3 linked regions of the Pelodiscus sinensis genome follow. The protein of the gene in region 1 interacts with the protein of each later gene in a biochemical or structural test. Links are inferred from orthologs where the notes say so. Each region holds a gene or a part of one and is shown in the gene's direction. Other genes may lie near its edges. The genes, in order: KPNB1, KPNA4 and KPNA3.

The links.
Region 2: the proteins of KPNB1 (region 1) and KPNA4 form a complex in vitro, tested with the Homo sapiens proteins (2 studies listed by BioGRID and IntAct, with this or other methods). The link is inferred for Pelodiscus sinensis from reciprocal best matches to the Homo sapiens genes KPNB1 and KPNA4.
Region 3: the proteins of KPNB1 (region 1) and KPNA3 form a complex in vitro, tested with the Homo sapiens proteins (2 studies listed by BioGRID and IntAct, with this or other methods). The link is inferred for Pelodiscus sinensis from reciprocal best matches to the Homo sapiens genes KPNB1 and KPNA3.

The regions. Positions count from the first base shown.
Region 1 is NC_134739.1:13,273,427-13,280,581, forward strand, and holds the start of KPNB1 (importin subunit beta-1), read left to right. Parts: upstream 1-4,144; 5' UTR 4,145-4,306; coding exon 4,307-4,346; intron 4,347-4,463; coding exon 4,464-4,522; intron 4,523-7,155.
Region 2 is NC_134720.1:33,022,894-33,030,785, reverse strand, and holds the start of KPNA4 (importin subunit alpha-3), read left to right. Parts: upstream 1-4,776; 5' UTR 4,777-4,963; coding exon 4,964-5,032; intron 5,033-7,892. UniProt on the Homo sapiens protein: Functions in nuclear protein import as an adapter protein for nuclear receptor KPNB1. Binds specifically and directly to substrates containing either a simple or bipartite NLS motif.
Region 3 is NC_134711.1:290,015,175-290,022,962, reverse strand, and holds the start of KPNA3 (importin subunit alpha-4), read left to right. Parts: upstream 1-4,756; 5' UTR 4,757-5,493; coding exon 5,494-5,790; intron 5,791-7,788. UniProt on the Homo sapiens protein: Functions in nuclear protein import as an adapter protein for nuclear receptor KPNB1. Binds specifically and directly to substrates containing either a simple or bipartite NLS motif.

The DNA.
Region 1 (7,155 bases):
ATTACTCTCTCTCTCTCTCAGCACACACCGCCTCAGTTTAATTATTCAGTTGCGCTTTTGTTCCCTTCTATGCTAGTCTTCCATCCCTGCATCTTGCAAGTTGGACTCAGGCCTTGTCTACACCCACAAGCTGTGCTGCTTTGACTACCCAGCTTTAGTTCAAGTGATACTCTGCCCCCTCTCCCCTTAGTATGGCTGCAGCTTTACTGGTACAAAGGTGCTTTACACACAGACAGCCATTCCTAATTTGTGCCAGTGATCAAAGGCCCCTTTCTGCTAGGATTGATTGTACGGGTACAACTGTTTCCACCCAATCTCCCTAGCACTGACAAAGCTGTTTGATACAAGTACAAAACCTGGGAGGAGACCAAGCTGCATTGTTGTTTACCACTTCTAGTGCAGTACCACCACAGAGCCCCAGTCCTGGACCAGACGGACCCAGTGTGTTAGGTGCTGTACACACACAGACCCAAAAAGCCCTGCTGCACTCATGGTCTAAGTCATCTTAATTTCTGCCTTGTCTTCATTGCAATTTTTCAGATAACTCACCCAGAAATCCTGCCAAGGCTTTTTGTAAGATGGGCTTTTCCATGAGGTTTTTCTGATTCTTTAGGGTTGTGACAGGAACTGGAGGCCCACAGCCCTGAGCTTCCCAGGAACCACAGAGAAAGAAGCAGTAACTGCTTCCAGCTCTGTGATTTCAGCTCCAGTTGGAGCTGGCCTTCTTCCCAGATTCATCTTTCCAAGCTCTTCTCTGTCACTGCCTGGACTTTCCCTCAGATTAACTGGGTGAACCCTGAGGCCCTGTTGCCTCCCTCAGTGTAGAAAGGACATGGGACGTCACACTGCTCCGGAGGGATGCTGCTGCTCGGGTGGATGTGGGCATGAGAGATTTACAAATGTATATTAAAGCTAGTGTTTGAAATCAAAATTCCTACTACACAGGCTTAGAGGAAAGGCTCTTGGGGTCAAGCCTGGATCCTCAAGAATTACAAGTCTCACTTAGAAAGTTACAAGATGCATTGACCCAGATTTAAGAGGGTAAGTTTTTAAGTAGTAGAGCATAAGTGTTTGGGTACCTCACCCAAGGGAAGTTTTACAGAGTTAGTTGTGAAAAGCAGCGGGATGGGGATTGTTCCTCAGTCTGTCGGTGATGTTGAGAAGACCAGGACTTTACAGGGTTAAAAAAAGAACCAGATAAATTCATGGAGGTTAGGTCCGCCAATGGCTATTAGCTAGGATGGTTAGGAATGGTATCGCTAGCCTCTGTCAGAGGCTGAAAATGGATGACAGGGGAGGGATCACTAGAGGACTCCCTGTTCTATTCACTCCCTCTGGGGCACCTGGCATCGGCCACTGTCAGAAGACAGAGCACTGCGCTAGATGGATCTTTGGTCTGACCCAGGGTGGCTGTTCTTCTGTGGGATGGGCTTTCTGTAAGAAGATACAGCTTGCCGAGGAAGAATTTTTTTGGGGCTATTTCCTTAACTGCGTCCCTCGTCGCTGGTACTGCTCACCCATCTTGCTACACCATGTCCTGTGCTATGGTCTGCATACATATCGCCCCGTCTATGTGATCTCAGGTCATGTCCTCATTCTGTTAGTCACCCTCTTCTCCCAAATATGGGGACTAGGAGAATGTGGGGGGTTTAATACATGTTTATAGAACACACTGAAAACGCAAAGCTCTGTAAAACTTAACTCTACCCAGTTTTACTGGAAAGAGGGATGTTGCACAGGCCCAGATGCCATTATTCCTTGCACTTTCAAAAAGCAACATGGGAGCTTGCATTTCCACAAGAGCATCACTATCAGCCCCAAGGAACAAGGGTTTAACATCAAGCAGGGCCAGCCTCAGGGAGAATGGGGTCCTGGGCAAACTTGTTTTGGGGGCCCCTGACCCTTGTGGGCATAATTCCCCCATTTCCCCTGGTACCCATGGGCTCCCCTGACCTCCCCCCATCTTGTGCTCTCTTTACCACTAACCCTACATTGTGCCCCCTTCATTCCAACTCCTGCACTTTCCGCCCACCTGTGCCCCTAACTCTGACCCTACACTTCCAGCATGTCCTGCCACCCTGCTCAGCACCCTTCACTCTCTTTGCCCAACAAAACCCCATGCTCCGTTGCCCCTCAGCCTCTGGCTATGGCACCCTGGGCATGGGCCCAATTTACCCAGTCCTCAGGTTAGCCCATCCTAGATGGACAACTCCTATAATCCCCCCACTAGCCCAGTGTTCTTCACCTATATGAAGCCATTATATATAGCCACAGACAATGGGGGAAAAGAGTGACTGCATTCACACCATTCTCTTGCCTCTTCCATTGTATATACGCAATGTTTATAATGCCCTCTGAAGGGGGGAGGGCTGGAAAGGACCCCCCTCCCCCCAAAAAAAGCTTTCATCTCAGCACTTCCCTGCACTGTGGTTTTTGTCCCCAGGGAATATTTTATTACAAATATAACTACAAACCCTTTTAATCCATTTCCCATAGTCTCTGCAGTATTTTCAACCTCAGCAGGTTCTTGCCCTCTCCTCAAAACTACCCCTTCCCTACAAGCCTCCAGGTCCCACATCCCCCTGTAAGTGATAATTATCAATTCTAATAAAATAAATATCACCTTGTTCTGCTCATCAGTCAATCCCAAGGCAATTCTAGAGTCAGTCAGTAGCATTACCCCCATTTTACATACAGAAAAACGGAGACCTGGCCAATAGAACAGAGCCAGGAAGAGGTAGCTCCTACTGGCTTGAGTCCCAGCTAGGCTGTGGGGGCTCTAACAATCCATTTCATTCAGCAACTAGTCTCCAAGAGCAGACTGCACCAACCAGATGTTTCGGAGGAACATGAGAAATGAAGGCTCTGATGGACAAGCTGTGGAACCTACCCATGACAGTGTCTCCTTCGTACCAAGCAGTGATGAAATAAACCAGCCTTCCCAGACCTAGCTTCTATAACCCAGCCACTTGAGCTGCAGCTCCTATTGAAAAGCAGATAATCCACAGCTGTTAGCCTGATCATTACATCTGGGCTAGAAATTCTCTTGCATTAGAGCAAAAACCAACTACTAGCTGCCTGACCTTATGATGGCACTGCTGCAGTGGGCAGAGGATTCCAGAATTGTCCATTATGAGTTTCTTACATCTTCCTCTGCGTGCTGTTGCTTCAGTCATTCCCCTCCAGTATAGCACCAGTGCCTAGGGCCCACTCTCTTCAAGTCCTTCCCTATAGCCCCAGGCCCTACATAACTTCTATTATGGCTCCAGTCTGACAGAGCCCCAGAAGCTCCTTGCCCCTATGGCCAAACCCCCAGAAGTCCTCTAGAACCCAGCAGCTCCTGATGGCCCCCTGCTAATCCCCCAGGAGCCCCTCTGGCCTACTAGGCCCCACCCCCTCAGGCCCCCCCAGCAGCTTCTGCCCCTCAGGGCAGGGTCCACCCTCTTCTGCCCCCTCCTCCCCAGCGACTCCTGGCCGCATCCCCCCTCCAGCCCTGCTGGGTCCCACCTCCCTCCTCCTCCCCTAGCAGCTCCTGGTCCCTCTGGGCCCCCCCCCCAACGGCCCCTTCTTGCCCCCCCACAATGGCTGCTGAGGACCCAGTGGGCCAGCGGCCCTTGGGGGTGGGGCCAAGGAAGGTAAGGCCCAGTGGGGCCCCCAGCAGCCCCGGACCCTCCTCAGCCCCCCTCCCCCAACGGCCCCTGGCCCCACTGGGCCCCTCCTCAGCCCCCCTCCCCCAACGGCCCCTGGCCCCACTGGGCCCCTCCTCAGCCCCCCCCCCCAACGGCCCCTGGCCCTACTGGTCCCTCCTCAGCCCCCCTCCCCCAACGGCCCCTGGCCCTACTGGGCCCCTCCCCCTCAGGACCTTCTGCTTGCGGCCCCTCCATCCGCTTCCCTGGGCCGCCCTCGCCCAGCCCGGCCAATGGGCGGCCCGCTCCGCCGGCTCAGCCAATGGCCGCGCGCGCGCCCCGGCCCCCAATGAGCGCCGAGCGTGAGGGCCGCCGCCAGCCAATGAGAGCGTGCGGCGCCCGCGGCGCGAGCCCGGCTCTGGCCCTCTCCCTCCGCCCGCGCGGCTGGCTCGGGCCCGCCCCTTCCTTTTTCTCTTTTCCCTCCTTCCCCCCCTCCCTTCCCGCTCCGCCTCGTCGGTGTGTGTGTGTGTGCGCGCGCACACGCGCGCGCGCTCTCCCGTCCCCCCCCCCTTTTGCCGCGCGGCCCTTTCTCCCTCCGCCGCCGGCGCCCGCCACAGCCCGGAGCCGCCGCCCGCCCCGGGGGCCCCCCCGCGCCGCAGGAGCCGCCCCGCGCCGCCGCCATGGAGCTCATCACCATCCTGGAGAAGACGGTCTCGCCGGGTGAGGGCCGGCACGTGGGGGGGGAGGCTGAGGGGAGGCCGGGCCGGGGGGGGAGGGGCGGAGCGGGGGGGGGGGGCCCCACGGCGGGGACTGACTCCGGCTCCCGCTTCCCCGCAGACCGCTCGGAGCTGGAGGCGGCGCAGAAGTTCCTGGAGCAGGCGGCGATCGAGAACCTGGTGAGCGGCCCGCGGGCCGGGCGGGCGGCAGCGGGGTCCCCCCCCCCTCGATATCCCATCCACCCCTCCCCCCTCGCGGGCAGGGAGCGCCCCGCCCTGCCCCGCGCAGGCCGAACCGCCATCGAGGGCGCAGCCCAACTTGCCAGCGCCCAGCCGGGGCGGCGGCCGGCCAATGGCGGCGCGCCCGCGAGCCGCGCGGGCCAATGGGAGCGCGGAGCCGGGGGTAGGGGGAGGGTAGGCTGCGCCGCGCTGCGTGTGCTGCGCTGGGGCCTGCGGGCCATGTGGGGAGCGCGGGCCGGGGGGGGGGCTGGGACACCCCCTAGCGCCCTCCAGCGCCATAGGGCCCCGCTCCCCCCCTTGCGGAGCCTGCTCCTTCACCCCCCCCCTTGCATCACGTGCCTCCCATGCTGGGCCTTCCCTGCCTGCCCCCCTAGGCCTTCCCCCTTCCCCTTCCCCACTGGGCCAGGCCCATCTGGTTCCCTCGGGCCGGGCCTTCGATTCTTGCATCCTGTTCCCCTTTCATTGCTGGGCCCTTGGTTCTTGCACCCTGTTCAGATCCCGCTCCCCTTTCCCCCTGAAGCAACCCTCTGCTCTCTTCTGAAGGGGGCGCTTCTCCCCTCCTTCCCACCCCCGTCTCTGACCCAGAGGTAAGAAGCCAGAAGGTGAAGGGGTCACCCGGGTTGGGACCCCTGTCTACTGTCCTGGGTGGAGTTAGAACAGATTTAGAATAGGTTTCAGGCAGGGGTGGGGAACCTCATGTCTTGGGGCCAGATTCAGTCCCAAGCTTTCCTGGATCTGGCCACTGAGGCTTAGGGCTCCCTCTCCCCCTAGTATCGGGGAGTCTGCAATGGTGCTCCAGCCCCTGTGGGGCTGGAACACACACACTCTACTAGCCTGGGCTTTCCAAGGCTCTGCTATGTGTGGAGAATGTTGAGAGTGACTTTCTTCTCATTGGGGGGGGCACATCAATGAGGGGTGTGGATTTTCGTTAGGTTTTTTTTTCTTCTCACTTGTGTGCGGCCCTTGACCAAAAAAAGGTTCCCCACCCCTGGGAGAAAGGAAAGGGTGGGGGCTACTTTGTTCCAGGGGAAAAGGGTACTCAATCTACAAATGGCACACTCCCATTAGCATGTTGTGTGTAGCATGTCTTAGCATCCTACACACCTATTAAACTCAAGGGAGGATTGTGCAGAAAAGTTAAAAATACTTTCTACCGTTAGCATATGTTTGCCTAATTAAGGTACAACGTTACAACTATTACACTAAAAAAAGGTGTAAGGGCCTGATTCCTAGCCTTGTTACTCTACTCATCCTTGAGGCAATCTCTGGTTCTTTTGGGTGATTAAATATGGGAGAATTATTGCATTCCTGTTTGCTACTGTAAAGATTGTCACTGACTTGACTGAGTATACATCTACACTGCAACACTATTTCGAAATAAACTAGTGCTATTCCAAAATGACTTGGTCCGCATCTACACAGCAGGCAGTTATTTTGAAATAATATCAAAATACTGTCAAGCTAGAGGACTTTTTACTCTGAATCCTGTAACCCTCATTGTACTAGGAGTAAGGGAAGTCAGAGGAAGGGTGCTCTGTTTTGAAATAAGTACTGTGTAGATGCTCCTAATTTCAAAATAAGATATGCAATTGATGTAAGTCAGTTTGCGTCGCTTATTTCGAGTTAAGCCTGGCAGTGTAGATGCACCCTGATGAATGGGAGGTAAAAGTTGAATATTTTTCAGCCACCCTTCTACATTTCCTCTTCACCAGCATTAATGCAAGCTGTGCAGCTTTTTGATACATAATTTAATGTTAAAGGTTTGTGAAACCTTCTGGCAATCAGAGTCGTTAACAATTGGGCTTATAGTTTCATGTTCATTCCAGTTCTGTGGCTAGCTGTTTAATGAATCATAGCCCACCACTGAAACATTGGGATATGTTGAGGAATCCTTTGGTTTAGCTGATTAAACTGTCTGAGGCTGGTTGGTTTTGCTGAATCTTGTTGCAATGCTTCTGTGTGTGTGGAAGCCATGAGAACATGTACACTAAGTTTGGGTTTGGGTCTGCAGTTTAGAAGAATTAAATTCTAAATTAGAATTGTGAGTTCAGGCCTAGAATGAATAAAGCTGCTGTTGCTAGTTTAAACAAACAAAAATACCCTGATCATTTAAGGGAGGCAGGCAGGTGAGAGAATAAAGAACTGATGGCTTTTGGCTATTCGCATTTATAGTGTATTTTCCTAGCGTAATCTTCATCAGATATATAGCATTTTGGGAGTTGAGCCCACTGTTTCCCTTCAAGGGATGTGTCCTTGCAACACTATCACTTTCTATTCCAAAACCATCTTTCCTGAAAGCTTTCCCCACCTTTAATTTAATCCAGCCTTATAAAATTTTGTCTTGAGCGTGAATGCATTTTTGATCAATAAATAAAATCAGCTTTTTCATTATCCTAAAAGGTAGAGAAGTAGATTTTTGTGCCTAGGGCCTTGCATTTGTCAGGATATTTTTGCAAGGCTGATTTAGCTTTGAATGGGGGGTTTAAACTGTATATTTGTTTACTAACTCTGCACTTTGGGTGTTAAAACAGGTAATTTGATAGCTTTATTAACTTTTTTGGTGAGATTTTGGA
Region 2 (7,892 bases), on another chromosome or scaffold:
CAGGGGGCTGGACTTGATGACTTTCTAAGGTCTCTTCCACCTCCATGATTCTATGATTCTATATACCTGTGCCTCTGCAGGTTTGGATGCTTGTAGTGTTCCCTGGCAATGGGAACTGTGGGAAGCAGTGCAGTCTGGGACACCACTTCCCATAGCTCCCATTGGCTGGGAACGGTGATTCACGGCCAGTGGGAGCTGAAATTGCCTCTACCTGTGGAGGTACAGGTAAATACAGCGGCTAAACCTGGCAAACTGGATCAGGCCTGCAGGCTGACATTTGCCCACTGCTGTGCTAGAATGAATCTATCTTTCAGTCCTGACTGCAGGATGAAGTAAATGAAAGTGACCACTAATAGGTGGGATCAACCCGACCAGAAGCTGTAAAGTTTTGGCCACATTAATAATGTTTCATGGCAGGAAGTCAAGGGCATGTAGCTCTGACCTTGCTGCAACTTCTTGACAAAGCTTTCTCCCTTCCCATCCCAGTTCATCTCATTTCTACCCTTCAGCACCAGCTCGCTGTAGGTCACTACTGTCTGGTACTGCAGTCAAGGTCATCCTATCCATAGGATGATTTGAGGCAGCCGCTCCTGGCCCTGTGCTTTGGGAGACCCTGTGACAGCTGCCCTGACTGTTTTATGGACATATTGAAGGGAGCCTGTGGTGCCATCAGCCTGGGGGATTACCAGAAGAGTATTGCATGCTCCAGCAGGTCACAGAGGACCTCGACGACGCTGATGGCATATACATCCGTTTTCGTCTCGACGGGAGCGTGTTCAACCTGAGGCGTTTGCAGGCCCACACAAAGACCATGGAGAAACTGATCAGGGAGCTGCTGTTTGCTGATGATGCCGCCCTCCTTGCTCACACAGAGGCAGCTATGCAGCGAATTACGTCTTGTTTCGCAAAAACTGCTCAGATCTTCGGTCTTGAAGTCAGCCTGAAGAAGACTGAAGTTCTTCATCAGCCCGCACCCCACGAGGAGCACCATCCACCAAGCATCTTCATTGAACAAACAGAACTGAAAGTTGTCCACCAGTTCAACTACTTGGGGTGCGTGATCTTGTCTGACGCCAAGATGGACAAAGAAGTCGATAACAGGCTGGCCAAGGCAAACAGTGCATTCGGCAGACTATACAAACGTGTCTGGAACAACAGTAACCTCAAAAGAGACATGAAGGTCAGCGTCTACAAAGCTGTTGTGCTGACCACTCTCTTGTATGGCGCTGAGTCCTGGGTCACGTACCGTAGTCACCTGAGTCTCCTCGAGCGTTTCCATCAGCGCTGCCTCCGCACAATCCTCAATATTCATTGGAGTGACTTCGTCGCCAACACTGAAGTCCTCGAGTTAGCGGAGGTCACCAGCATCGAGGCCATGGTCCTCAAGATACAGCTTCGCTGGGCAGGGCACATCACCAGGATGGAGAACCATCGCCTACCCAAGATCGTGCTGTATGGGGAACTGTCCTCTGGCTACCGCGACATAGGGGCACCACGAAAGCGGTACAAAGACTCCCTGAAGAAGTCCCTCACTGCTTGCTGTATCGATCACCATCAGTGGGCAACACAAGCAGCTGATTGCAACTCCTGGCGGCACACAGTCCACCTCCTTCTTCGAAGATACCCGCAGGGCCTGTATGGAGGACAAAAGGAGAAGGAAGAAGAACCGTGACCCCTCAGCACCTATCTCGGATCAGACCTATATTTGCAACCGTTGTGGCAGGACCTGCCTGTCCCGCATAGGCCTCGTCAGCCACCAGCGTGCCTGCAGAAGATGTGGATTTCCTAGATCTTCGTTCGCGAAGTCAAGCCACGATTGCATGGTGCAACAGCAGCCACCAGGCCTCCCACACTTACCATGGCGGCAGAAGCCTGGGAAGCAGAGTGAAGCAGACGGGAGCTTGTACTACTGTCATCTCCCAGCTGGGTTGTTCTTCTTAACTGCAGTGGTAGAAAACAAAGTGCTCCAGCCCCAGCTTGCTCTATTCCCCTAAGTGATGCAGAGTTCTGGGAAGCAAAGTAGATCGGGATGCTCCACTTCTCAGGCTCCTGCTGCCATGGTGAGTATGAGGGAGTGTCACGTTATTGGATTTTAGGGTGAGGAGGCAGATCATTGTTGCACCCACTAGTGTGTTTGCTCCAAATTCTGTACGAAGTGGGCCGTGTAAGGTGTCAAATGAAAGCTTATGTTATGCTGACCAGTATGTTATTCATATGCTGGTATGATTATTGTATGTATGTTATGGATACAGGCTCTGTATTTGTATTTAAATGTTCTCCATCTGAGAGGCAGCAATGGACTTCCATGACATATTGTGAGGAGTGGTTATCCAATGAATGGCTGTGCTAATTAGCAATGCTGCATAGACAGAGGCTCTCAAGGTTGCCAATACACGTGAGGAATGCATTTGGAAACTTGCAAATGAGCAAGTCTATCATGGCTACTTGCATGAAAGACAAAGAAAGGTCACTTGATCATGTGACAAATGCCAGTTTGGGAGGCACTAGGAATACAAAAGTACCATGAGGGCATCTCCATCTTGTCTTCAATCTTGCTCCTGATTCCAGAAGCATCCTTGCTAGGGACAGAGAACCAGGAAGGATTTGTTGACCCATCCTGACACAGGATGTACACCAGAGTCTTTTAAGTTAGCAGTTTGTAACATCTCTGCTAAGAGCCTGCATCAAGAACTTGGTGATTGATGTATGTAATGTATTCTCTTTAACAATCTCACTCTCAACCCTTTTCTTTCATTAATAAACCTTTACGGTGCGTTTAGACTGGCAAAAACTTCCCAGCTATCTATACTGGCAGCTTGAATTTGCGCAACAGCACTGACGTTCCAATGTAAGAATTCAGTGCTTCTTGCACAAATTTTTTGACGCCCCCACTCAGGGATAAGCCCTCTTGTACAAGAATACTTGCGCAAGAGGGCCAGTGTAGACAGGCACCTTAATTTTTTGCGCAAGAAAGCTCAATGGCTAAAATGGCCATCGGAGCTTTCTTGCGCAAAAGCGAGTCTATATTGGGCACGGATGCTTTTGCGCAAAAGCACTTTTTGCACTAAAGCATCCGTGCCAATCTAGATGCTCTTTTGCGGAAATACTTTTAACAGAAAAACTTTTCCGTTAAAAGTATTTCCGCAGAATCATGCCAGTCTAGACACAGCCTTAGATTTTAGATTCTAAAGGATTGGCATTGTGTGCTCTTTTGGGTAAGATCTGAGATATAAATTGACCTGGGACTGTGACTGGTCCTTTGAGACTGGGAGAACCTGTTTGGAGTTGGTGAGATTGGGTTTTATAACCTCTCACCTATGTATGTGGATCTGACTGTTGCAGAGGGAACGCTGGGGTGTCTAAGAGGTTTTGCCTTGTGAGGTTTCTTGCTGGCCAAACAGGGCACTGAAGTGCTCTTTGTGACTGGTCTGGTGCCTTTATAGGGAAGGACCTCACTCTTGGGCTGTAAATTGCTCTGGTTCTAAAAGAATCGCTCTAATCCAATACTCTCTCAGCAGTGACTAGACTGAATCGTTATATTACAGAGGAGGGAGCGACCCGTTGCCACTCCGTGCTACACTCCCTCATAATCCCTTGGGTCACATAGCTCTGGGAAGGGGACTTCGGGAAAGAGGTATAAACAGGACTGGAGGAGGCAAAGCAGGGGTGGAACTTGCGGTGAATCCTGGTGAAGCACAAGGAAATCCAGCCCTGAGGATGCCATCCTACCTTGGCCCCGCCCCAGCTCCCTCCTCTCTACTGTGTAGTTGCGTATTGCCTGGCTGGTATACACACTCACCCAGTGATGATAATAAAACGTAATTAGAAAATACCAGACATTTATATGTCCAGTATTTTCTCAATTTGTTTCCCAGACAGAAAGGTCAAAACTGGACATCTGGCAACCCTAGTTGTTTTTTTTTAAGTTTTTTTTCCCCACTTACAGACTAACATAGCTACCTCTGAGACTTCTTAGCCCTAGTCACCCAACTGGGCTCAAGGTATCTACTGACTCCAAGGAACTCCTATTCCAGTCTCACATGAATCCCACCGTGACTGAAGGAGGTGGACTGGGGGGTGCACAGTTGATGGGGAGGTAGATGCAGACACAAGAAGCGATTCAGCGTTAGGAAAAAGAAGCAGCAGTGAAAGCTGAGCGCCCCTACCCTGGTGCTGGTTTCTGCACGAGTGCAGGGCGAGAAACGCAGAGAAACCTCTTGTTAACAGCTACAGAGAATACTAAGCCAGCAGCTGCTAGCCCCTGCAGCCTCCTTCCCCCAGCAGCGGTCTCGTGCCCCGAGAAGCCTCCACAGCCCCCAGCGTCTGCGCAGCAGCCGAGGGGGAGGGAGGAAGGCGGTGACGCACGTTGTTGTCGACTTTCAGTTGTGTCAACAACGGCAGCAGCCGCTGCCGGAAAGGGCGGGCAGGGCGCCCCTCGGCTCTAACAGCGTGGGGCGCAAAATGGCTGCCCGGCGCAGGGGTCAGGGGGGCACCCCGCTGGCTGCCGTGAAGGAAACTCCATCTCCCTGCCTGCCCTCGGCGCCTCGTCCTACCCTGTCCCCTGCTCGCCACCGCCCCGCTCTCCTCCCACAGCGCGGCCCTCCCTCCACGCTCGTCTCTCCCATTCGCCGCCGGCCCGCCCCTCCCCAGCCAATCGGAGGGCGCGGCAGAGAGGGGTGGGCGTAGCCTCGGCCAGCTCCTGCTAGATCGAGGCTACCTCCTCCTTTCCCCCGCCCTCGGCTCTGTCCCTTTGCTGGTTACCGGCACATTCCGGCGCCCAGGCAGCCGGAGCTCGCGAGCGGCCGGAAGGAAGGAAGGCAGGAAGTGCGGAGGCGGCAGTGGCGGCCTAGTGGCGCAGGCCGCAGCGCGGACGGGAAGAGAGTGCGAGTGAGCGAGGCGGCGGCGGCGCCGGGCAGGGGATCCCGGCAGGCCCGGGAGGAGGCCGCGCTCCTTCTCTCCCGCCATGGCCGACAACGAGAAACTGGATAATCAACGGCTGAAGAACTTCAAGAACAAAGGCCGCGACCTGGAGGTAGCTCCCACAGCACCCCGCGGGAAGGGCCGGGCATGGCGGCGGGACTGGGCCGCCGAGCTCTGGCGTCTCTCCTAATCCCCCTTCCGGCACAACCGCCTTCCTGCTGCTGCATCAGCCGAGGGCCTGCTCCGAGGCTGAGGCCTGCTCCGCCGCTGTGGAGGGGAGGGAGTGTCTTCCCCTTTCTCCTCACGAGGGCAGGGGCGCTACTTGGGTGGGGTGGGCGGACGGACGAGCTGAGTGAGCCCTGCGTTTCCCCTGCCGGGAAGAGGCTGCCTTTCCTTCCCACCCTCGGACAGCTTTGGGGCTGAGGGCGGCTGCCCGCCCGGAGTGGGGAGTGTCTGCACTGACAGCGGAGTTAACGCCTTTCGGCATTTCCCTTCTGTGGCTATCTCCCTTGGTTTTGCTGTACACCAGGGAGAGGAGCGGGGAGGACGCTGACGGGTGTGTGGCTATGAGGCACGGGGGTCTTTGTCGTCATTTTCTCTGTAAGAAACTGGTGGCTATTGACATGAACGGAGTTCTGCTGACTGTTAGCCCTTCCTAGTACGGGTTATGTTTTTTTCTTCAGAGTATCTGCAGGCCAGTACATAGTTGAAATGCAAAATATAAACTGATGGAATTAACATAAGTGCAGCTACAGCACTATAGAAACAGTCAAGTGCAGTCTAATATATTTTTGTACAACCTCACTTTGGTTTGGCACTGTTGCAATAGGGGGTCAAGTACCATCAGTCATCCACTTCCCAGATAGTAATGAAAACCGTTTTGGTTTATAGCTTGGCTAACACATTCAGGTTATGGCTTTTCCCAGTTATGGCAGTGAAGGCCAAAGAAGACCCTTATTGGAAAATGTCCTGCAGTTGGTCCTCCTTTGATGCAGCAGTTCCCACAGCTTAACAATTTCATATGGGACAGAGACAGTTAGTCAAGTAAGCAAGTCCTATGCAATTCATGTTTTTTTCATAAAGCAGTCTCTAAAGTCAGCACCTTGAACTCCACACAAACTTCTGGGAGCCAGGTAAGATCCCAGAACACTGGCATAATGTATTAGCTGCATAAAAAACCACTTAAGTGGGTCTTTGTGTTCTGCTCTAACTTCAGTTTCTGAATGGGTTTAAGATGTGGTAGAGCATAGTGTAATCTAATGTTGAGATGACACAAAGGCATGAAGAACTTGGCTTTTGAAAGTAAAGGATGGAGTTGCTCTCTTTCACTGATTGGCATGGGGAAGGAATCTTTTCTACCTGTGCATGAAGGAATAATCCAGGATCCAACATCTAGGTTTTGAACTCGGTTGAGTATATCGGTATAACTTTACCTGAAATGTTTGGGATTGACAGATAATGAAAGAGAGAGTAAAGCATGCAGGAAATAAAAGATTAGTTTAATATTAAAGGACTTAGTTAAATGGGGTTCTGCTGTCTTTGTGTAAAAGTACCTTCCCCGTTGAGCTGTTTGCTGGCTGCTCTCCAAATACTAAAAACAAAAGCACAGGGTGTATTATAATTCCAGAAGTGGTGCTGTGAAGGTTTTTATTTAAAACAAACCTCATACTTCATTCTCTTCTGTATATTATTTTATATGGAAAAGTATAATGCAAAGTTCTCTTAAATCACTGCTGTGTTGGATGCCTAAACTTTGCATTTTAATGTAGGTTCTCTAAACTCATACTATACATTAGGGATGTGAATGACTAGTCAACTGTCCGATAAGCAAGTGGGAGAGAGGAAGAAAAGGGGATGGTTCAAAGTGGCAGTGCTGCATAGGGCCCAGGCCAGACCTTGGGCTCTACGCGGAGCTGCTGCTTTGAAACGCCGTGCAGCCCAGGGCTAGCTGGGGACTCCCCTGCTGACCCCAGGCTCCATGCGGCGCTGCCACTTTGAAATACTGCAGGGAGCTTGGGGTCAATGGGGGACTGCTTGAGTCCCCTGCTGGCCCCATGTTCCCCGCAGTGCTTTCACTTTTAAAGTGTAGCAACAATCCTGGTGCTGTTACTACACTTCAGAAGTGGAGATGCCCTTATTGATTACTGGAATAGTCAATGCAAATTGCACCGACTACTGGATTAGCCCATTAATCTAAATTTAACATCCCTGCTATACATATGTTAATCCTGAATCCTTCCCACAAAAATAAGACTTTTATAATTTGGATGATAGCCTGTTTAGTTTTAGTTATTGATGAAATTTTAAAGACACACACTGATTTGAAGATCACCCTCTTAAGAGAGGACTTTTTTCCTATATTTGTTTCAAGTAACCTGTAAGATAACTATTATTGAAACCATTTGAAAATATTTCTCCTGCCTTCTTTGTTTTTAGGCATTTTATAGGCATTATTTTTCTTGTTTGAGAGAAACATTTTAAAATAAAACCAAAAAATTTGGCTGAGGTCTTACTGACATATGTAATACTGTAGAGTTTATTACCTTTAAACATTATTGTATTTCTGGTAGGCTATGTGCCATCCATGTGTTTTTTGGTTTGCTGTTAAGGTAGCATTTTGCAAAATGAAAACATTGTTAAGCTGTTAAGTCTTGTTAAATTTTAGAGACTGACATCTCTCTAACAGATCTTGGAACATATGCTCAGTACTTAAAATAACTACTGTGGATGATCATTTTTCAAATAGTAGCTCAGGCTTGTGTGACTATCATTCTGATTCATTGTTTATACATCACATTTTTTCATTACAGCATGAAATATTGGTAATGGCTGTATTTAGTCAAGCTTTAGCAACAGTTGATTTTTTTTATCTTGCATTTTTGCAGAAAAAAACCTCTTCCCTTCACATAAATCAGTATTTGATTATTCTAGTAGTCTCTACTAAAATCAGTTGTGTATCAATTAGTTTATTA
Region 3 (7,788 bases), on another chromosome or scaffold:
AGTGTTTCCTATTAAATTCTATGATACAGCCTAGAATTCACCATAGAGGGGTTCCCATGATGGAGCTTTTTACTGCCCAGGACATTGCCAAGTGTTACTTTGTTACATAGGGGGCATGAGCCTGGTGGTATTGCCAGATGCTTTCTGCATTGGAGGTCCAGATTTCTTTTTGCCTTTTCATCTGTTTCCCTGATACCTATACTAACTTCTAAAATCAAGAAACAAACTCACCGTTATTCTCATGGCTCCCTCCTGGCCAAAGCACTTTTGGCTGACAGACCTGCTACAGATGTCCATTCAGCCGTGCTCCCAGACTGTCTGGACCTGATCTAATAGTACCATAGTCATATACTCTTGGCACCTGATAGCCTGGATGTTAGTGTCTAGAAGATCCTGATACAGGGCAGGAAGACCATCACCAGATAACTTATTAATCAAAATGGAAGAGCAGCTGATTTGGGCATGTCAAAAGCATCCTAAATACTATGTGCAAGTTTCAAAACCATAGTTCCTTGACTATTTGTTGCATTTGTAATGTTCCGATCTGTTCAGGTCTATTGATTCATCTCACTGTTGTGAACATGGTTTGCTATTTGCCTGTACAGTTGTCTGCTGACTGTTATCCAGTGATATCAGATTTCCTTAAGGCAGTGTTTCTTAAACTTTTTAATACCGAGGAACCCCAAACAATTTTTTTTGAGGAACACCAAGGCTTTTTTTGTTGCGCCAAAAAAAAGTCTGGGGGAGTTATTGAGCAAAAAAAAAAAGGTTGCCTGCCCCTTTAAGAGTGGCCATTCTGAATTCTGTTGTTCTCTGTGGCACACCTTTGACTGCCTCAAGAAACACTGCCTTAAGGCCCTGTTAAATGCTTCCTCACCAGAGAACCTGCTGCTGCCTCTGGGACATCAGCATATCAATAAAATGATTAACATCACTAGTCCTGTCTTTCTAGGCTAGAAAATAGATCTCTCTGCTTTTATTAAATTTAGATAAAGGCAGTCCCCGGGTTACGTACAAGATAGGGACTGTAGGTTTGTTCTTAAGTTGAATCTGTATGCAAGTCAGAACTGGCGTCCAGATTCAGCGGCTGCTGAAACTGACCGCAAGTTCTGACTTACATACAGAATCAACTTAAGAACCCCAGGCGTCCCCAAGTCAGCTGCTGCTGAAACTGATCAGCAGCTGATTCCAGGAAGCCCGGGGCAGAGCAACTCTGCCTCGGGCTTCCTGTAGTCAGCGCTGGTCAGTTTCAGCAGAAGCTGACTTGGGTACGCCTGGAGCAGAGCACCCCATCTGCTCTGCCCCAGGCGTCCTGATTCAGCCGCTGCTGAAACTGACCAGCAGCGGCTGAATCAGGACCTGGGGCAGAGCAGCTGGGGTGCTGCCGGGTTGGTCCAGTAGTGCCCAGAGCGGCGCTGCAGGACCAATCGGCAGCGCCCCAGCTGCTCTGCCCCAGGGTCCAAAACAAAAGCCTGGTCTACTGGGGGGGGGCACACTAGCTGCGCTCCTCCCCCCCCCCCCAGCAGACCAGGGACACGGGGAGCAGAGCCGCAGCGGCAGCGGGGTGCCGCACCTCTGAGGCTTTGCTCTGGCAAAGCCTCAGAGGTGCGGGACCCGTCGCAGCTGCCGCTTCAGTCCCGGTGCCTGTGGTCTGCTGGGGACGGTCCCCAGCAGACCACAGGCACCGGGACTGAAGCGACAGCAGCGGCAGTTCCCCGCACTTCTGAGGCTTTGCTCTGGCAAAGCCTCAGAAGCGCGGGAACCCGCCCGGTGCCCCTGGTCTGCTGGAGACGGTCTCCAGCAGACCAGGGGCACCGGAGCAGCTTACGAACGGGGCTTTCTCGCCCCGGAGCTCGCAGGTAGCAATCCGCCACCTCGACCTCCGGGGCGAGAAAGCCCCGTTCGTAAGTGCGGAGCCGACATAAGTCGGATCCGCGTAAGTCGGGGACTGCCTATATTTCATTTTCATTACATTATTTAGCTTTGTCTAGTCTGATCTTTCTAGCTATGGGGGTTGGCAACAGTTGGAGAAAACCAGGTCCAATTTTCTAAATATATAGTTTTCTTTAAATATTTGAACAATGCAATCCACCTTCCCAAATTAATAAAACCAATTATTGTAAACCCTGGCTGTAGACTTTTACCCCAGTTCTGAATTGGGTCCTGGAACATGGCGAGGGCTAGAACTATGGCTTTAAACCACATTTGTGTCTTCCATTAAGGCCCAGAATTTGGATACCAGCCCAGAGTAGCCAAAACGCACTGCAGCACTGTTCCCTTCTCTCCCATGGGGCACAGCTACACTGGGGGCTATGTGGGAATGTGACATAAGGTTCTGGGTAAGCCCTGAACATCATAAGAGTCCATGGTGAGGAAACTAGCCACTGAAGTGGCACGAAGGAGACAAATCCAAGTCTAATAAGCTGCAGCTTGAATTTTTGTACAACAAAGTCAATTTCTACTGAAGGATGAAATTTGCAACGAAGTAGACTCTGTTACCGGGTTTCCCCTTTCAGTAAACAGTACATACAAATGTGTTAATATTCTTTTCCAAATTCTCCGTGTTTAGTTTATATATTTTCTTGAAGCAAAGAAATTAACATCTAAAGAAATTCCTTTACATTTTCCTGCATATACGTCATGAAATACAATCTTCTTAAGTGCCGTGGAAATAATCTCAGTGCTGGTTTTGATAACTGAGGACTACATTTCATCCCATCATGTGTGGTTTGCTTAAGGCCCACTGGTTCAGCAAAGTGTTGTGGCTAAATTGGGGCTTTAAACTCGAGGCACATGATGGGGATGAAAAGTAGGCATATGTTGCATTTAGTGCTATTTTCTTGACCATAGTGCTATATGAAAACCTAGTCACTGGTAACAGTTCATTAAAGATTAGACAGTTGGTGCTTCTTATAATTTATCATCCTCTGTGCATCTTCTGACAAGGACAGTTATGGCAGAAATTGGCCAGAAAATGTGGCATATTGAGAGTAGTCTATTTCTCTGCCTTGAGGTTAAACCTATTGCAGCTTCACTGCTTGTTTCTTGTAGTATGAATGCACTTGTGGACCTTGCTTGGTTGCTGAGGTGGTGGTATGGTTCAGTGTTCAAAAATAGGAATCCTTGTCTGTTCTGCATTTTAATAAAATACAAATAAAATTCCAAAAAGGTATTCCTTCATCCATCTTGTCTCTCAATATTCTGGGACCAATATGGCTACCATAGTGCATTCTACATTTGTCGTAATAGCCTTGTCTACACTGCTGTTGTCTGTTCTCTTAGGGTACGTCTAGACTACTGCGCTATTTCTGCGTCTTTTAAACCAGCCCATTATTTTGAAATGAAATAATGGACCTGCTATTATGACATCTTTGTAGCCCTCATTCCACGAGCATTAAGGGACAGTTAAGGAACATTTTGGAATAGCAGTTTATTATTTCGAAATAAGCTATTTCAAAATTAGATCGAAATAAGATATGCAATTTATGTAGTTCACATTGCATATCTTATTTTGTAAGATTTTGTACAGGTGCAGTGTTGATGCACACTTATAGGCTTCCGAAGTTGTTCCTATAGGTCAGTGGTCCCCAACACGGTGCCCGCGGGCGCCATGGTGCCTGCGGGGGCATTTGTGTGCCCCCGCCAAGTGCTCGGGGCTGGCCTGGCCCCAGGCACATCGCGCATGCATGGTGCTGGAGCCGGTCCTGGGCGCACGGTGAGCGCCGGCCCTGGGAGCGCCGCAGATTGGCCGCCCGCGCTCTGGGCGTGCGGCGCTTGGAGGGGGCACCGGCCCTGGGCGCGCGGCACTTGCGGGGGAGCTCCGGCCCCGGGCGCATGGCACTTTGGGGTGGTGGGTGTTGGGCGTGCGGCGCTTGGCGGGGGTGTCAGCCCCGGGCATGCGGTGCTTGGGGGGGGGGTGTCAGCCCTGGGCGCGCAGTTCTGGGGACCCCGCCCCCGGGCACGCGGCCCTTGGAGGGGACCCCGGGCACGCGGTGCATGGGGGGGGCCTCCGCCCCCGGGCACGCAAGTGTCTCCACCCTCTGGCGCCCGGCGGGTGAACGGCCATGCCCCCTGGCACCTGGCAACCTCCCAATGGTTGGGGACCACTGCTGTAGGTGAAGCTGAATCAGTGTTGACAATAGTAGGGACTTCTGCAAACTTTCTCTACTATAGATAGGACCAGTAAAGGCTTTCCCCATGAGTTTTAATGTGTTACATTTATATTTTTATGGTCAAAAATAGAGGGGGCTAAAATTAAGTTAATGTGTTTATAATATAACAGGATGTCACCTAAACTCTAGTCTAGTAACAGGAAATATGAGAGCGCTACAATTCACATAAAAATTTAAGCTTTGAGAGGCCTTGCTACTGATCATTGTCAGTGGAATTGTAATCTCTGAAACGGAAAACAATTAGGGTATGTCTACACAGCAGGGCTAACCTTGAACTAAGCTATGCAATTTGAGCTACGCTAATTGCATACCTTAAGTCAAAAAAGCTAATTTTGAATTTGGGAATGTCTACACAGCACTTACTTCAAAATAGAGCACTCTTCCTCGACTTCCTATACTCGTACTATGAGGGTTGCAGGAGTCGGAGTAAGAAGTCCTCCAACTCAACATTATTTCTACATTAAGTCAAAATAACTGCTTGTGTGTAGACATGGATGATGTTATTTTGGAATAATGTCCGGTATTCTGAAATAATGCTGCTGTGTAGACATAGATCAGTTTAGGCCAGTAAGGCTATCCTTGCTTGGTGCTTTTGATGTTTGCTAAAGTTAATATCTGTCCTCTGACCTGGTTTCCTCAGTGTGTTTATTTTTCTTTTACTGGAACTTAGGGCAGTTGCAGGTTTTATGTAGGAGTTAGCTTATGGCTTCAAACCAAAAGATCAAAAATTGCAAACCAGATTCCCCCAAATCATGGTTTATTTTCAAAAGATTACATTGTGGGTCCTCTTTAAAAATTCCCCTTGTTTCAGTGTGAATGTTGCATCCTTCCCAAATTTCTAAAATAAGGTCATTCTGGTTTCCTGAAGGAATTTTTTTGTTTGCTGATGGTGCAGCGCTTCCAGCTGCTTCCCAAACTCAAAATTAATTCTATGATTTGCCCCATTGCTGGGTCTGTCTTGTCCTTCCTGCTAGGGGTTCTTCATCTCCTTCTCCCACACAGGCTACAGCCCTAATTGGATTGCTTTATCCCGGGAATGGGGAAAAACAGCCATTCAGAAGGATTTTTTCCCCATGGATAGGCTGCTTGTGTCTTCATGAGATTGGCTCCAGTAGGAGCCAAATACACATTATTAATTGTGAATAGTAAGAGTTGGCAAAAAGGCTCATGTGCAGGTCTCTGCTACTGAGGATGCAAAAGGGAGCTGGCCCAGTGATCTCAAGGTAGCACATCAGAGTTCAACAGTAAGCTGAAACAAACTCAAAATGCTGTGGTTACAACCAGCCATTCTAGTGCCTGTCTGAATCTGTAACAAAGGACTATGACACAGATTCTAGAATTGCCCAACTCCATAGAGCAGGGGCCATCTGCAGCCCGAGTAGTTCCACAATCCAGCCTGCACACGGCTGCTAGCATGAGTTGCTGTGGCTCTGGGGGCTGCCCATACCCTTCCCCCAACTACAGCTCCTGCCCCTGCTCTGCCCTCTCCCCCCAGTACAACCCTTCTCTCAAGCCCCCTCTTCTGAGTGACATAGCTTTAGGGATTACTGGGGGCCCTAGTATGGGGCGACATCAGCAATCTGTGTATCTCAGTTTCCCTGCAGCTTCCACTGCCACAGTGAGTATGGAAGGGTGACTTCAGCTGCAGCCTGCCCAGGGCACTCCAGGCTTAGTATGGGGAACCATCCCATCCATTGGATGGTTAGAGCAGCCACTCCAGGGCCCCCCAAAGCACAAGGGCAGCTGCACCAAACCGTCCTACAGATGGGATGGCTCAGCAAATACCTCTCTGGGCCACAGGGACGGGCCACTCTAGCCTCGCTGCACTGCCTGTGAAAGCACCAGGGTGTGTGTGTGTGTGAGAAATCTCATGGGGGGGATGCTGGTGGGGCTGGGAGACATGAGTGTGGGAAACACATGGAGCCCCTCTTTCCCTGAAGCTCTGCTAGAGAGGGGTGCCCGCTGGCCCACTAGCAAGATTTGAGGACTGACACTTGGCCCTAAGGTAAATTGAGTTTTAGACCACTGCCCAAGATCTTATTTTTATGCAAGCTTTTCTGGGTAGGGAGAAAGGGCACCTGAGAAGGCTACAACATTCCCTTACCTAAATGATCTTCTCTTGCCACTGAGCATGGCTACATCTAGACTCCAGTGCTTTTCTGGGATACCAGATATCCAAGGAGCGCGTCCACTTTTTCGGAAAAAAATTTAAAAAAGCAGACACGCTTTTTTGCCATCCCTGTAAACCTTGTTTTATGAGGAAGAAGGGAGGTATCGAAAGAACATTTTTCCCCCAAAGTTTGGAGCCATGTAGACATGCAAAATTTCGAGAGAGCCTCTTTTGACAGTAAAGCAGAAAAAGATACGCAAATTGTTTCTTTTTCCGACTAACCAATGCAGTGTAGATCTAGCTCATGGGAAACTGAGCCTTCCCAAATCAGGTCTTTCATGTTGCTCATGATTCACACAAGCCACATTTACACACCTCAAGAATTGCCAAGACTGACACCCAGTTGGAGTAGGATTAGAATCTGCTTAGAATTATATAAGCAAATACTTTGTCAAAGGCTAACTCAGCCAAAGAGTAGCGCCATAAGCAGCTGTTGCTTGAGTAGTGCTGAAACGTTTGATGCCAACATTCACGTGGACTTACTCCTTTAGTTTGTACTTAAAATGGCTTTTGTGCATAATACCCATTTTTATTATTTTTCACAAGTAAACCTCACAAAAAAATTAAAACACTCAGGGCCTGTCTGCACTGCAAGAGCCGTCATGCCTTTGATTGCTTCTCATTATAGGCCCAGTTACTGTGGCAAACCATTTTGCTAGCTGGATGGTTCTTACAATGAAGCTAGACCGGGGTAACAAGACAGCCTCTGTGGGCTGGATCTGGCCTGCCAAGCCAGTTGATCTGGTCTGTGGTCGCCCTACCACTCCCCCACCCTCAGGCCAATAGAGACCTGGGGATCGGGGAGCGCACAAAGTCCCCTCCCCCTGCTTAGGGGCATGAATCACCAGAGGGAATCGCCAGCTGTTCAGAATGGCTGGTAGTTCTCTCTAGGTGCTGCGCTCCCCTTGCAGCGTGGGGGCATGGGGCAAAGACTTCATGTTCTCTTCCCCCCATTCCCTGATTGGCCTGGGGGTGGGGGAGCATGTGAAGTCTCTTCTTGCCTCCAGGGGCATGCAGCACCTAGAATGAACCACTAACTGTTCAAAACAGCTGCCAGTTCTCTCTAGGCACCTAGGGGAGGAATGGGGGGCAAAGACTTCACATGCTTCTTCTCCCCCCCCCCCCCCCCACCCTCTCCAGGCCAATCAAGGTCTGTGGGTGAGTGAGCACGGGATGGCCCAGGGCCACTTCAGAAATTGGTGAAATGGCCCCTCTTTAAAAATTATTACCCACCCCTGAACTGGATGTACTCTGACTGCTAAATTTGGGTGTTTTAACCCTGAATTATAGTCTTGGATAGAAATTAAACCATGCTAGTCTGTTTGTGAAAACTGTCCTGGCTTGTGTTTGGCATGTATACAAGTTATTCTTTCTAAAGCACAACAAACCTGGTTCTTGAAGTAGAATATGGATCTTCTAGCAGTAGTGTCATATAACTGCAGAGAA